3 linked regions of the Macaca mulatta genome follow. The protein of the gene in region 1 interacts with the protein of each later gene in a pairwise test. Links are inferred from orthologs where the notes say so. Each region holds a gene or a part of one and is shown in the gene's direction. Other genes may lie near its edges. The genes, in order: COPG1, COPZ1 and COPZ2.

Region 1 (3,567 bases):
ATGCCCCCACTGGACAGATTTTCTTCTTTCAACAATTGATAATCTTTAAGTAATTTTTCCCTTTCTCATTTATATTATTCTGAGCCTTAACTGCAAATTGACGCCATTTGGATATGGAAGGTGAGGAGCTTTACATTATAGCCAGCTTCTGTGACCTCATCATGGTTAATTTGAAAATAGCTCCTGGAACCTTAGAATGGGAGCTACTGATCCCATCTGGCTCCCTTTTCCATTAAATAGATAAGGAAGTTGAGGACTGGCGTGGCGCCAAGATCCACCCAAAGCCACTCACTGTGTTGATAGTGACTTTGGGCCTTCTGGCTTGAGACTTCTTGCCTCTGGGGCTCTTCTGCCTGAAGACCCATTCTGAGTGCTGGAAGTACCCAGTGAGTTGTCAGGGTGCATTGGGTAAATCACATTCGCTTCCTAAACACAGGTGCTGTGAGTGCTCTGGCCAAGTTTGGAGCCCAGAATGAAGAGATGTTACCCAGTATCTTGGTGTTGCTGAAGAGGTGAGTCTAGGCCCAGGGGCCCTCATGGGAACAATATTCCCTTAGACTCAAGCAGCTTTCCTTTGTCTTTATTTTTTTTAACTGAGAAGGGAGAGAAAAGTTACAGCTACTGATTGTAGAAAAAAAAGAGAAAGCATAGAAAAGCATGAAAAACAATGCTGTACAAATCGCACCAACAAGATGTGACAATTGGTAACTTAAATTATTTTGCCCACTTAAAAAAAATAGCTCTATTGAGGCTGGGTGCAGTAGCTCAGTAATCCCAGCACTTCGGGAGGCCGAGGCAGGTGGATCACGAGGTCAGATTGAGACCATCCTGGCTAACATGGTGAAATCCCGTCTCTACTAAAAATACAAAAAATTAGCCGGGCGTGGTGGCGAGCGCCTGTAGTCCCAGGTACTTGGGAGGCTGAGGCAGGAGAATGGTGTGAACCCGGGAGACGGAGCTCGCAGTGAGCCGAGATCGCACCACTGCACTCCAGCCTGGGTGACAGAGCGAGACTCCATCTCAAAAAAAAAAAAAATCTATTGAGATATAATTCACATACCATACAATTTACCCATTTAAGATGTGTAGTTTGGTGGGTTTTAGCATATTCACAGAGTTATGGAGCCATCACCACAACCTGGGTTTAAAACATTTCATCATCCCAAAAAGGAACTCAATGTTCATGAATGTGGCCTCTCCTCACTCCCTCCACCCTCAGCCTGGGGCCACCACTAGTCTACTTGTTATCCCTATGGACTTGCCTCTAATGAAGCCCTGCAGGATCCCTCCTGCCATCCCTGCTGGGCCCCAGTCAGGACCACCTTGTGTCCCGGCTGCAGGTGTGTGATGGATGATGACAATGAAGTAAGGGACCGAGCCACCTTCTACTTAAATGTCCTGGAGCAGAAGCAGAAGGCCCTCAATGCAGGCTATATCCTAAATGGTGAGTCATTCCCTAGCTACCTTGGACTCAGCACCTTACTGGAGCTGTGGTTCTTCTCATCACTCCCTGGGCAGGGGAAATCCGAGGCAAGATGCTCGTGGCTGGACTTGCCTGGTAACCACATGGCATCACGGTGACCTCAGGAGGTCCTGGGTCATTCAGGTCACACCAGTGTGGGTGGAAATTGTCCAGTGAATTCAAACTCTCATCATTAATAAAAACTTTATTTTTACAGTACTTTACCCTTTACAAGTCACTTCGTATGTATGTTTATTCCTCACACCTACCCTGTAAGGGAGGATGTATCTGAGAATGAAGAGGCTTAGAGAATAAAGTGATTTTCTCAGGGTCGTACCACTTAGGACTTGTAACTTCGGGACCCAGGGCCTCCATGGTGGTCCCTGGTGCGCATTTTGCTCTGTCTGCCAGACATGGTGACCTCTCTTCGCCTCTAGGTCTGACTGTGTCCATCCCTGGTCTGGAGAGGGCTCTGCAGCAGTACACTCTAGAACCATCAGAAAAACCTTTTGACCTCAAGTCTGTACCCCTGGCCACAGCGCCCATGGCAGAGCAGAGAACAGGTAACACCTATACTCCTCCCAGAGGCCATCAAGGCCAGGCCTCTGTCAGAGGGTCTGCATTGGCTGCAAAGCCACTAAACCTAACTGGGACGGGTGGGAGTTATGCTGGGAGGAGGAAATGATCCTTTCCGCCTCTGGATCCCAAAAATAGAGACACACATACACACAGATGTGTGCTCTCTCACATGTCCTGTGCTTTCCACTCTCAGGAGGGTTAGTATTCATAATCCCTGAGTAACAGCGCTGGGGTCACCACCACACTGCCCCATGACTGCAGCCGTTGGTCATCATGTGTATAATTTGCTCCTGCAGAAAGCACCCCCATCACAGCAGTCAAACAGCCTGAGAAAGTGGCAGCTACCAGGCAGGAGATCTTCCAGGGTGAGTCACAGTGGTTGGGGGGTGCTTGGGACCTGGGCTCAGTTTCCTCAGGGGGATCAAGAGTAAGAACTGTCATTTATTGGTCTCTCCTGAGTGCTGGGCCCTTGAGATGCTTTAGACCTAGTATCACATTTGACCCTCAGATGGTGGTTGTTAGTTTCCTTCAATATCTGAGGAATTGAAAGTTCAGAGAGAGAAAGTGGTAGGAGCGGCTGGAATTAAGATCCAGATCAAACTGGCTCAGTGCCAAGAACTTTCCTAGATCTTGATATTTATTGCCTCATTTGTCTTTACAACAACACTGTGATCAAGATAATTGTATCAGTTTTATTGAAGAAGAGTCTGAAACCCTATCAACAGAATCCCCCAGGTAGTAAGTATCAGGCCAAAACTCTGACTCCCAAGAAAATAAATAGCAATAGAAAAGCACTTTGGTGGTTGATGGTCATGGTGGCCCAAAAGTTGCTCCTAATATCTAGCCTAGATTGTTCTGGGATTTTTATTGCCTGCGCGTTCATTAGATTCAGTCTTCAGGCTGCAGAGGGCTGAAGCAGTCGCATAGGCCGACTTTTTGTGGAGGAAAAAAGCAAAATAATAACAATAAGGCCCACCTTTCTCTATGTCTGAAACGTGAATTGAGTACCTTCTAAGTACAGGGAAAAATATCAGATCCCTGGCCTCAAAGCACAATTCCTGTTCTAATGGAGTTCAATTAATTGGGAAGACAAGTTGAGAATCTTAGAGCAGTGGTCTTCAAATATCAGTATATATTGGAATAATCTGAGGAAACATATTAGAAATGCAAATTCCTTGATCCTGAAACCAGAGATTCTGATGTAGTAGATTTGGGATGGAATCTGAGTTTTTAGCAAGCTCTACCGCCAACCCCTAGTAATTCTGATACAGGTGATCCATGGTCATAGTGCGAGGAATCCTGCCATAGAATAGGTGCAAGAGTGGTAGCTGTAGCCATTATAGGTGGACACCATGTGCACACATCTACCAGATGCCTCATTCACTTGGGTTATTCCCTTTAGTCTGCAAGGAATGCCAGGACCAGCCAGGGTGGGGTCCCATGGGCCTGTGCTTAAATCCAGTGCTTGAACCTGGCCATAGGGTGTAGGCATAGGTCTTAACCAGACACAGACCATTCTAAGTTGG
Region 2 (4,296 bases), on another chromosome or scaffold:
GAATCGCTTGAAACTGGGAGGCAGAGGTTACAGTGAGCCAAGATCACACCACTGCACTCCAGCCTGGGAGACAGAGAGAGACTCCATCTCAAAAAAAAAAAAAAAAAAAAAAAAGAAAGAAAAAGAAAAATTCCTGCATAAGTCTGGAATCTCTTCTTGGAGAGCTCCTAAGGACATAATTTTCAGAGATGAGGGAAAAAAATCCCTGAGGGATAATTAAGGCAATAGGTATCCCTGCCCTAAGAGGAGTCAGGGATCAGGAAACCAAGAGATAGGGGAAAGCCAAGCTTCATCAAAACCATTCCCTATTGTGAAATCCTTGCATTCAGTAAACTTCTCTTTTCTCATTTTGCAACGGCTCGTTTCTTTCCTTTTCTTTTTCTTTCTTTCTTTTTTTTTTTTTTTTTTTTTTTTGAGATGGAGTTTTGCTCTTGTTGCCCAGGCTGGAGTGCAATGACGTGATCTTGGCTCACCGCAACCTCGGCCTCCTGGGTTCAAGAGAGTTTCCTGGCTCAGCCTCCCGAGTAGCTGGGATTATAGGCATGCTCTACCATGCCCGGCTAATTTTGTATTTTTTTTTTTTTTTTAGTAGATACGGGGTTTCTCCATGTTGGTCAGGTTGGTCTCGAACTCCCGACCTCCGATGATTTGCTCACCTCGGCCTCCCAAAGTGCTGAGATTACAGGCTTGAGCCACCGCGCCCAGCCACAACGGCTTGTTTCTATTGGAAAACCCCAGACCTTACTCCCTATAACCCTCCCTTATTCTAATCCCTTTCCCCGTTTGTCCCCCCAACTCCATCTCCAAAGACGATTTCACGTTGAGCCAAAGTTAGCTTTTACAAACTCTGACTTCTCATGTTCCTCAGGCCCAGCAAAGCCTGGAACTCCACCTTAGGGAGATTGTTACTGCGACTATCATCTCCTGGCAGCCTTGGTTTATGTAGTTAACATGTTGGGCCTTTCTTGGCTCTACTCTATGGTTGTGCAGACTTTCTGTGAGGATGCTGAAGTGACCCGAGCGAGCCTGAGGGAAGGGCTAGCCACAGAGATCATGGACCTAGGGGGCGCTGAAAATAGGGATTATTAGGGCAGGATCCCTGTTAGGAAGCGCCAGCGTTAAAGGCTAAGGAGACACAGCGCCCCCTAAAGAGGGTGCGGTTTAAAATCGCTAAATCAGGCCGACAATATCACGTGTCCCCGGCCCTACCAATTGAAAATTAACAATCGCTTCCTCCGTTCCCCATGGAAACAACCCCGCCCCACCGACCCTCCCGCCCTAATAAGTCGTGAGGTTTTGGCGTTTTATTGAGTATTCAAACTGACAATCAAACACCTGTGCCTTCTGGTTGGATACTCTGCTTCCGGTAAGCAAGTTAGTACAATAATTGGTCAACAGAGCAAGTCTTACCCAATGATCCTTATCCTAGGCAGGGCCTAATGGGGACGTATGGCCAATCAGCGGTGGCGTTACTTTTGCGGCTCCACGTCGGCACCAGCTGCGGGGCAAGATGGAAGCGCTGATTTTGGTAGGAGCTGGAGGGGCAGCAGAGATGCTGTGCTGTCCACAGGGGCCGGGAGTCAGGGTGCAGCCCGAGTGGGAGACGGGGAAGGAGAGTTCCGGGTAATTCTTGGGGACTGACGGTTCTGCCGACCCTTGGAATAAGTGTGTGGCCTAGTGTAGGAGCTAAAGCCTTGGTTTAGAGTAGGAAGCCCTGCCGGGGAGAGGGCATAGAGTCGGTGGAAAGTTAAAGGTAGCACATGGACTCCTTAGGATACACAGACCTGTAAGCGTACTGGATTAGGACTCTTCAGGTTTCCCCTTATTTTTAGCATTGTGGATGATATCCTGATTTTAATTTACCCAAACCACCAAACTAGCCCCATATTGTGAGAAAGGAATACAGATGTTTTGTCGTTACAGGCTCCTCCTGATGGTTTCCCAAGTTTGACTCTCCATTGCTGATTCCCTGCCACATTCTTTCAGGAAACTGTTTTCTCTTGGGTTTCCTATTAATCCCTATTAAATAGGTTTGTCATGATAAAGAATCAGTGTTTCATCAAAGTTCTGGGATACCTGATAAAGTTAGCATGGATTGTGGAATATTTTTTCCAGACTCCTTATTCTGTTCTCCTTTTCTCTACCCATTGGACCTTAGGAATTCTTTTTTTTTTTTTTTTTTTTTTTTTGAGACCGAGCCTTGCTCTGTCGCCTACGCTGGAGTGCACACGTGGCACGATCTTGGCTCACTGCAGTCTCCGCCTCCCGGGTTCAAGCTATTCTCCTGCCTCAGTCTCTTGAATAGTTGGGACTATAGGCGCGTGCCACCATGCCCGGCTAATTTTTTTTTGTATTTTTAGTAGAGACGTGGTTTTACCATGTTGGCCAGGCTGGTTTCGAACTCCTGACCTCAAGTGATCCGCCGGCCTCGGCCTTCCAAAGTGCTGGGATTACAGGCGTGAGCCATCGCGCCTGGCCAGGAATTATTTTATTTTATTTATTTATTTATTTATTTATTTATTTATGAGACGGAGCCTCGCTCTGTCGCCTAGCCTGGAGTGCAGTGGCGCGATCTCGGCTCATTGCAATCGCCGCCTCCCTGGTTCACGCCATTCTCCTGCCTCAGCTTCCCAAGTAGCTGGGACTACAGGCGCCTGCCACCATGCCTGGCTAATTTTTTGTATTTTTCTTTTTTTTTTTTTTTTTGAGACGGAGTCTTGCTCTGTCGCCCAGGCTGGAGCGCAGTGGCCAGATCTCAGCTCACTGCAAGCTCCGCCTCCCGGGTTTACGCCATTCTCCTGCCTCAGCCTCCCGAGTAGCTGGGACTACAGGCTCCCACCACCTCGCCCGGCTAGTTTTTTGTATTTTTTTTTAGTAGAGATGGGGTTTCACCGTGTTAGCCAGGATGGTCTCGATCTCTTGACCCCGTGATCCGCCCGTCTCGGCCTCCCAAAGTGCTGGGATTACAGGCTTGAGCCACCGCGCCCGGCCAATTTTTTGTATTTTTTAGTAGAGATGGGATTTCACCGTGTTAGCCAGGATGGGATTTCACCGTGTTAGCCAGGATGGTCTCGATCTCCTGACCTCATAATCTGCCTGCCTTGGCCTCCCAAAGTGCTGGGATTACAGGCGTGAGCCACCGCGCCTGGCCAGGGATTCTCATTGTATGATCTAGGATGCTAATTTCTCCCTTTCTGGTTACATGAGAATTGTGGTCGCTACAAGGAGTGTATTAGCCCTCTTGTCCATATGATGCTTTATGCTTGTTCTAACAAATAAAATACCTGTTACCCCTTATTTAGAACTGAACCAGATAATTTCTCTCAAAAGTGCCCTATTTTGCGATTTGGAGGGGTGTGTGTGTGTGTATGTGTGTGTGTGTGTAGGTAGGTAGGTAGGTAGTTAATGTAGGAATTTAACTCCCAGCCTCCTTCGTTAATTGGCTTGAACTCCAGGCCTCTTTCCAAAGAAGCTTGTCTTTTATTTTCCTTTAGATCTCCTATGCATACATATTCAGATCCTCGTCAGATAAAAGAATAACAGTTTTTAATTCCTCTCTTTCAGCATGTTAAAGACAGATAATTCCGACCATCCTGGCTAACACGGTGAAACCCCGTCTCTACTAAAAAATACAAAACACTAGCCGGGCGAGGTGGCGGGCGCCTGTGGTCCCAGCTACTCCGGAAGCTGAGGCAGGAGAATGGCGTAAACGCGGGAGGCGGAGCTTGCAGTGAGCTGAGATCCGGCCACTGCACTCCAGCCTGGGCGACAGAGCCAGACTCAGTCTCAAAAAAAAAAAAAAAAAAAAAAAGACAGATAATTCCTTATGTCAGTTGGTCAAATATAGGTAAAAAGCTTAAAATCTGAGTAGTTTTAAATATTTTCTGTACCAGGCAGTTAACAAATATTCTTTTTTTTTTTTTTGAGATAGAGTCTGGCTGTGTTACTCAGGCTGGAGTGCAGTGGTACTATCTTGGCTCACTGCAACCTCCGTCTCCCAGAATCAAGCAATTCTCGTGCTTCAGCCTCCCGAGTAGCTGGAATTACAGGCACGTGCCACCATGCCCAGCTAATTTTTGTATTTTCAGTAGAGACGGTTTCACCATGTTTGCCAGGCTGGTCTGGTCTTGAACTCCTGACCTCAAGTGATCTGCTGCCTTGGCCTCCCAAAGTGCTGGGATTACAGGTGTGAGCCACTGCACCTGCCCAGTTAGCAAGTATTTTTTTTTTTGTTTTTGTTTTGGAGACAGAGTCTCACTGTGTCATCCAGCCTGGAGTACAGTGCTGTGATCTCAG
Region 3 (4,085 bases), on another chromosome or scaffold:
GCTGACGTGAGCCGAGATCGAGCCACTGCACTCCAGCCTGGGCAACAGAGTGAGACCATGTCTCAAACAAGCAAAATTAGTAAAAATAATGTTTAGAGATTGAGAAAAGTGCAATGAAAGGAAGAAATAGGAACTGAGATAGAGAATGTGACAGGAGAGACCGATCAAGTCAGATATGGTGGCTGTCAGGAGGACCTTTTGGTAATGATATTTCAGCAGAGGCTTGAAGATAAGAAGGCTTGATGCATTCAGTGAGGAAAACCCCATTCTGTAACCATCTAGGGTAAGTGACTGTGGTCCACAACATAAGAGGGCTTGAAGAGAAGAATAGGGAAGAAATTTTGAGTCAAAAATCTGGGTTCTATTCCCAGTCAACTAGCTGTATGGTCTTGAAAAGGTGACACAACCTCTGAGTCTCTCTTTCCTTAAAATGAGGGTCCATTATGCCTACCTCACAGGTGTGGGCTATATTAGATAACGTATGTGAAGGTGTCAAATGTAAAATACATGCACAGTGTTTTTACCAGTAAATGCATACGTACCACTAACATACATATCACTGGGGTGTGAATTTTCCACTTGCCAGCATATCCTGAAATGAGAGCTTGTCTTTGGTACACTTAGACCAAAGAAACCAAAACATGCTGCAAAGCCCAATGTCATTGGTGGAGCATTTGTGCTGCTGGGCGTCTGTCTTGCTTTTGATGGTGCCATATCTGTGTCTTAGGAGAGCCTGGGGAGGTGTCTCCGCGGCCATGGTTCCCTTCTGCAAGTAGTGAGAGAGGAATGGGAAAGCCTCTTCACAGAGGAGTGTCCCCAGAACTGTCCTCATGTGCTCTTGCTTATAGACCCTGTCCCGGAGATCTAAAGGGTGATCTGACATATTTGTCCCCATGGTACCTACCAGAGGTCAACAGAAAAAAGTGGGCTTTGCTTGTGTTTGCTGCTGGCCCCAGGACAGCCTACAGACACCGGTGCACACCAAAGCCACAGGCCGGAGAGCAGGCAGAAAGCAGGACGAGGGCTGGTCTTGGGGCACCCTGAAGATGCAGAGTTCGGGGCTGTAAGGGACTCGGGAAGGAGCCAAGGAGAGAGGGAAAGGAGAGGTGGGGGAAGAAGAGCTGGGGTGAGGGCGGGAGGGGAGAGCGGGGAGAACGAGCAAGAGAACGGGGCCCCGAGGAAAGGAAGGCCACGCGCGAGAGGGGGCCACGGGGCGGGCGCGGAGGCGGGGCGGCGGCGGCGGGCAGGAGGCGGGCGGCGCTGTCAGTGCGAGGCGGCGAGCGGAATGCAGCGGCCCGAGGCCTGGCCACGTCCACACCCGGGGGAGGGGGCCGCGGCGGCCCAGGCCGGGGGCCCGGCGCCGCCTGCTCGAGCCGGGGAGCCCTCGGGGCTGCGGGTACGGAGCGGGCGGGAGCGGGGGTCCCGGGCGGCGGGAGCTGGGCCGGGACGGTGCAGGATTGAGGGGAGCAGCCAACTCAGAACTCGCGCGCCCAGCGGCTGGGAACTTTGTGTCACCCCTGACCGGCCCCAGGACCCGGGAGGAAAAGTTCGTCCCGGCGCCAACCGGCGAGGAGGCCTGTCCTGAGTCCGTCGGCGCGGGGCTGAAGTTCTGGGTCCGTTTGGAGCGGGGGGTGGCGGGTGAGTTGCGATTCCGCGGGGAGGGTAAGGAGTGGCCTGTCCGTCCCAGACTCGCCTCCCATCACCGGTGGGTGATGGGCATGCTGCTGGAGTCCACCCGGGCCAGGGCCAGGGCCTGGGGGCGCGCTGAGAGCGCAGGTCCAGCCCGGCCAGGGATCAGCTGGAAGGAGGAGGCTCGGCCCGCTGTCCCCCCCGGCCCAGGTTCTGTGATACACTCCGACTCGGGCTCTGGAGCAGTCAGTGCATGACAGAACTTGGGCCCGGAAGGACCTTCTGCACCCAACGGGCACAGCGCCCACTCGGGGCCTGCAGTGGAACATCTGCCTGGGAGTGGAGTGGGCACCTGGGTTGGCCCATGTGGCACAGGGTTGGGCAGAACCAGCTGTGGACCTTGAGGGCTGGGGTTGCTGGAGCCTGAGGGTGTATCCTAGGGCCAGCAGATCCCATAGAGACAGGGTGTCCACCTTGAGCCAGGGGCCAAACAGAACTCTCCTCCCCGGTGTCAGTTGCAGGAACCTTCCCTCTACACCATCAAGGCTGTTTTCATCCTAGATAATGACGGGCGCCGGCTGCTGGCCAAGGTAACCTCTGACCCCACCTGTGAGGGACACAGTTCCCATCCAGCTGACACTCCTGTCTCAGGAGAAACTCCACTGTGGTCTCTGTGACTCAGGGCAGCTCAGCTTAGACCCCTCCAGAAGTCCTTCTCATCCTCCTGCCTTGTCAAGGTGCTGCTCCCTGAAGTGAGGGGTCTCCCCTGTTTCTACTCATGTTCCCTGAAGTGTTTCCTCATCATCGGTACTGGCCAGCTGGACCTGGGCATGGGAAGTTTCTGCCTAATGGATCAGTGGAGTGTTGAGCCTGGGACCCAGGAGTCTTAGTCCCCAAACCCCTACACAAGCTCTTTTGTTCTTTGGGGTTTGTCTCTAAACCTCCTCAAAACCTCCACTTTTGTTCTACAGCTTGGTAAACACTAAGGATTTAGCCTAAGGAGTCTAAGGATTTAGAACCAGATGGGATTTTAGAGACTGTGTAATACAACTCTTTAATTTCATAGATGAAGAAAATGAGGTGTAGAGAAGCTAAGTGAATTGCCTGAGGTCACAAGTATTAATATCCTAACAGATCCAAACTCATATTTTATTTATTTACTTATTTAATTTTTTCACTTCTCCCATTTCACAGGTTTCACAGGCAAACTCAGGTTTTTTTACATTAAGCTCAAGGTGGTTTTCACTGTACCCCCATTCAATTATCTGTTATCTATCCTAGCAAACACGGCCTAAAATAATCCAAAAATAAATTTCTGCTGTCAACACAATTAATTGTAGTGGAACTACAGCATCTGCATTAGCTATGAAATGCATTATAAGGCCGGGCGCAATGGCTCACACCTGTAATCCCAACACTTTGGGAGGCCGAGGTGGGCAGATCACTCGAGGTCAGGAGTTCAAAACCAGCCTGGCCAATATGGTGAAACCCTGTCTCTACTAAATATACAAAAAATTAGCTGGGCATGGTGGTGGGCGCCTGTAGTTACAGCTACTCAAGAGGCTGAGGCAGGAGAATTGCTTGAACCTGGGAGGCAAAGGTTGCAGTGAGCCAAGATCGCGCCATTGCACTCCAGCCTGGGCAACAAGAGAGAAACTCTGTCTCAAAAAGAAAAAGAAAAGAAATGCATTATAAGGCCAGGCGCAGTGGCTGATGCCTGTAATCCCAGCACTTTGGGAGGCTGAGACGGGTGGACCGCTTGAGCCCAGGAGTGCCAGACCAGCCTGGGCAACATGGCAAACCCCATCTCTACAAAAAAAAGTATGAAAATTAGCTGGGTGTGGTGGTGTGCGCCTGTAGTCCCAGCGCTCGGGGAGGCTAAAGTGGGAAGATCGCCTGAGCCTGGGAGGTTGAGGCTGCAGTGAGCCATGATCGAGCTACTGCCCTCCAATCTGGGTTATAGAGTGAGACCCCATCTCAAAAAATAGATTTTCTGTTTGTTTGTTTGTTTGTTTGTTTGTTTGTTTGGAGCTGAAACTTTTCTGTTTTTATGACATTCAGATAAGCAGCGGCCAGTAGGGAGCTGGCTAATCTGCCTGCAGATTGAGTACTAAGTGGCAAAATCCACATCCAGAAAATTGAAAACTGAGCTGACCACACCTTGCCCCAGCAGATGGTCAGAGGTGGATCAGCAAGGCCAAAGCCTCTTGCTCCCTACAGATTAAGAAACTGAGTAAGAGAAAGAGGCTCACCATTCCCAAACAAAAAAACATTAATTTAGTTATGGGATATGTGCGAGGGATTGTTTCTTAGATATTTAATCTTCACTATAACCCTGTCTGCAGTCAGACCGTCCTTACTGCTCAAACCCAGCTTTGGCCTCACAACTGTGAGATGTTGGGGAAGTTACCTGACTTCTTTTTTTGTTTTGTTTGTTTGTTTGTTTGTTTTGTTTT

What was found.
Region 2: the proteins of COPG1 (region 1) and COPZ1 interact in a two-hybrid assay, tested with the Homo sapiens proteins (2 studies listed by BioGRID). The link is inferred for Macaca mulatta from reciprocal best matches to the Homo sapiens genes COPG1 and COPZ1.
Region 3: the proteins of COPG1 (region 1) and COPZ2 interact in a two-hybrid assay, tested with the Homo sapiens proteins (2 studies listed by BioGRID). The link is inferred for Macaca mulatta from reciprocal best matches to the Homo sapiens genes COPG1 and COPZ2.

What each region holds. Positions count from the first base shown.
Region 1 is NC_133407.1:154,688,382-154,691,948, reverse strand, and holds part of COPG1 (coatomer subunit gamma-1), read left to right. Parts: intron 1-436; coding exon 437-512; intron 513-1,340; coding exon 1,341-1,490; intron 1,491-1,828; coding exon 1,829-2,025; intron 2,026-2,337; coding exon 2,338-2,406; coding exon of another isoform or gene 2,407-2,468; intron 2,469-3,567. UniProt on the Homo sapiens protein: The coatomer is a cytosolic protein complex that binds to dilysine motifs and reversibly associates with Golgi non-clathrin-coated vesicles, which further mediate biosynthetic protein transport from the ER, via the Golgi up to the trans Golgi network.
Region 2 is NC_133416.1:61,517,998-61,522,293, forward strand, and holds the start of COPZ1 (coatomer subunit zeta-1), read left to right. Parts: upstream 1-1,486; 5' UTR 1,487-1,510; coding exon 1,511-1,528; intron 1,529-4,296. UniProt on the Homo sapiens protein: The coatomer is a cytosolic protein complex that binds to dilysine motifs and reversibly associates with Golgi non-clathrin-coated vesicles, which further mediate biosynthetic protein transport from the ER, via the Golgi up to the trans Golgi network.
Region 3 is NC_133421.1:61,984,662-61,988,746, forward strand, and holds the start of COPZ2 (coatomer subunit zeta-2), read left to right. Parts: upstream 1-1,268; 5' UTR 1,269-1,285; coding exon 1,286-1,396; intron 1,397-1,822; exon of another isoform or gene 1,823-1,909; intron 1,910-2,144; coding exon 2,145-2,219; intron 2,220-4,085. UniProt on the Homo sapiens protein: The coatomer is a cytosolic protein complex that binds to dilysine motifs and reversibly associates with Golgi non-clathrin-coated vesicles, which further mediate biosynthetic protein transport from the ER, via the Golgi up to the trans Golgi network.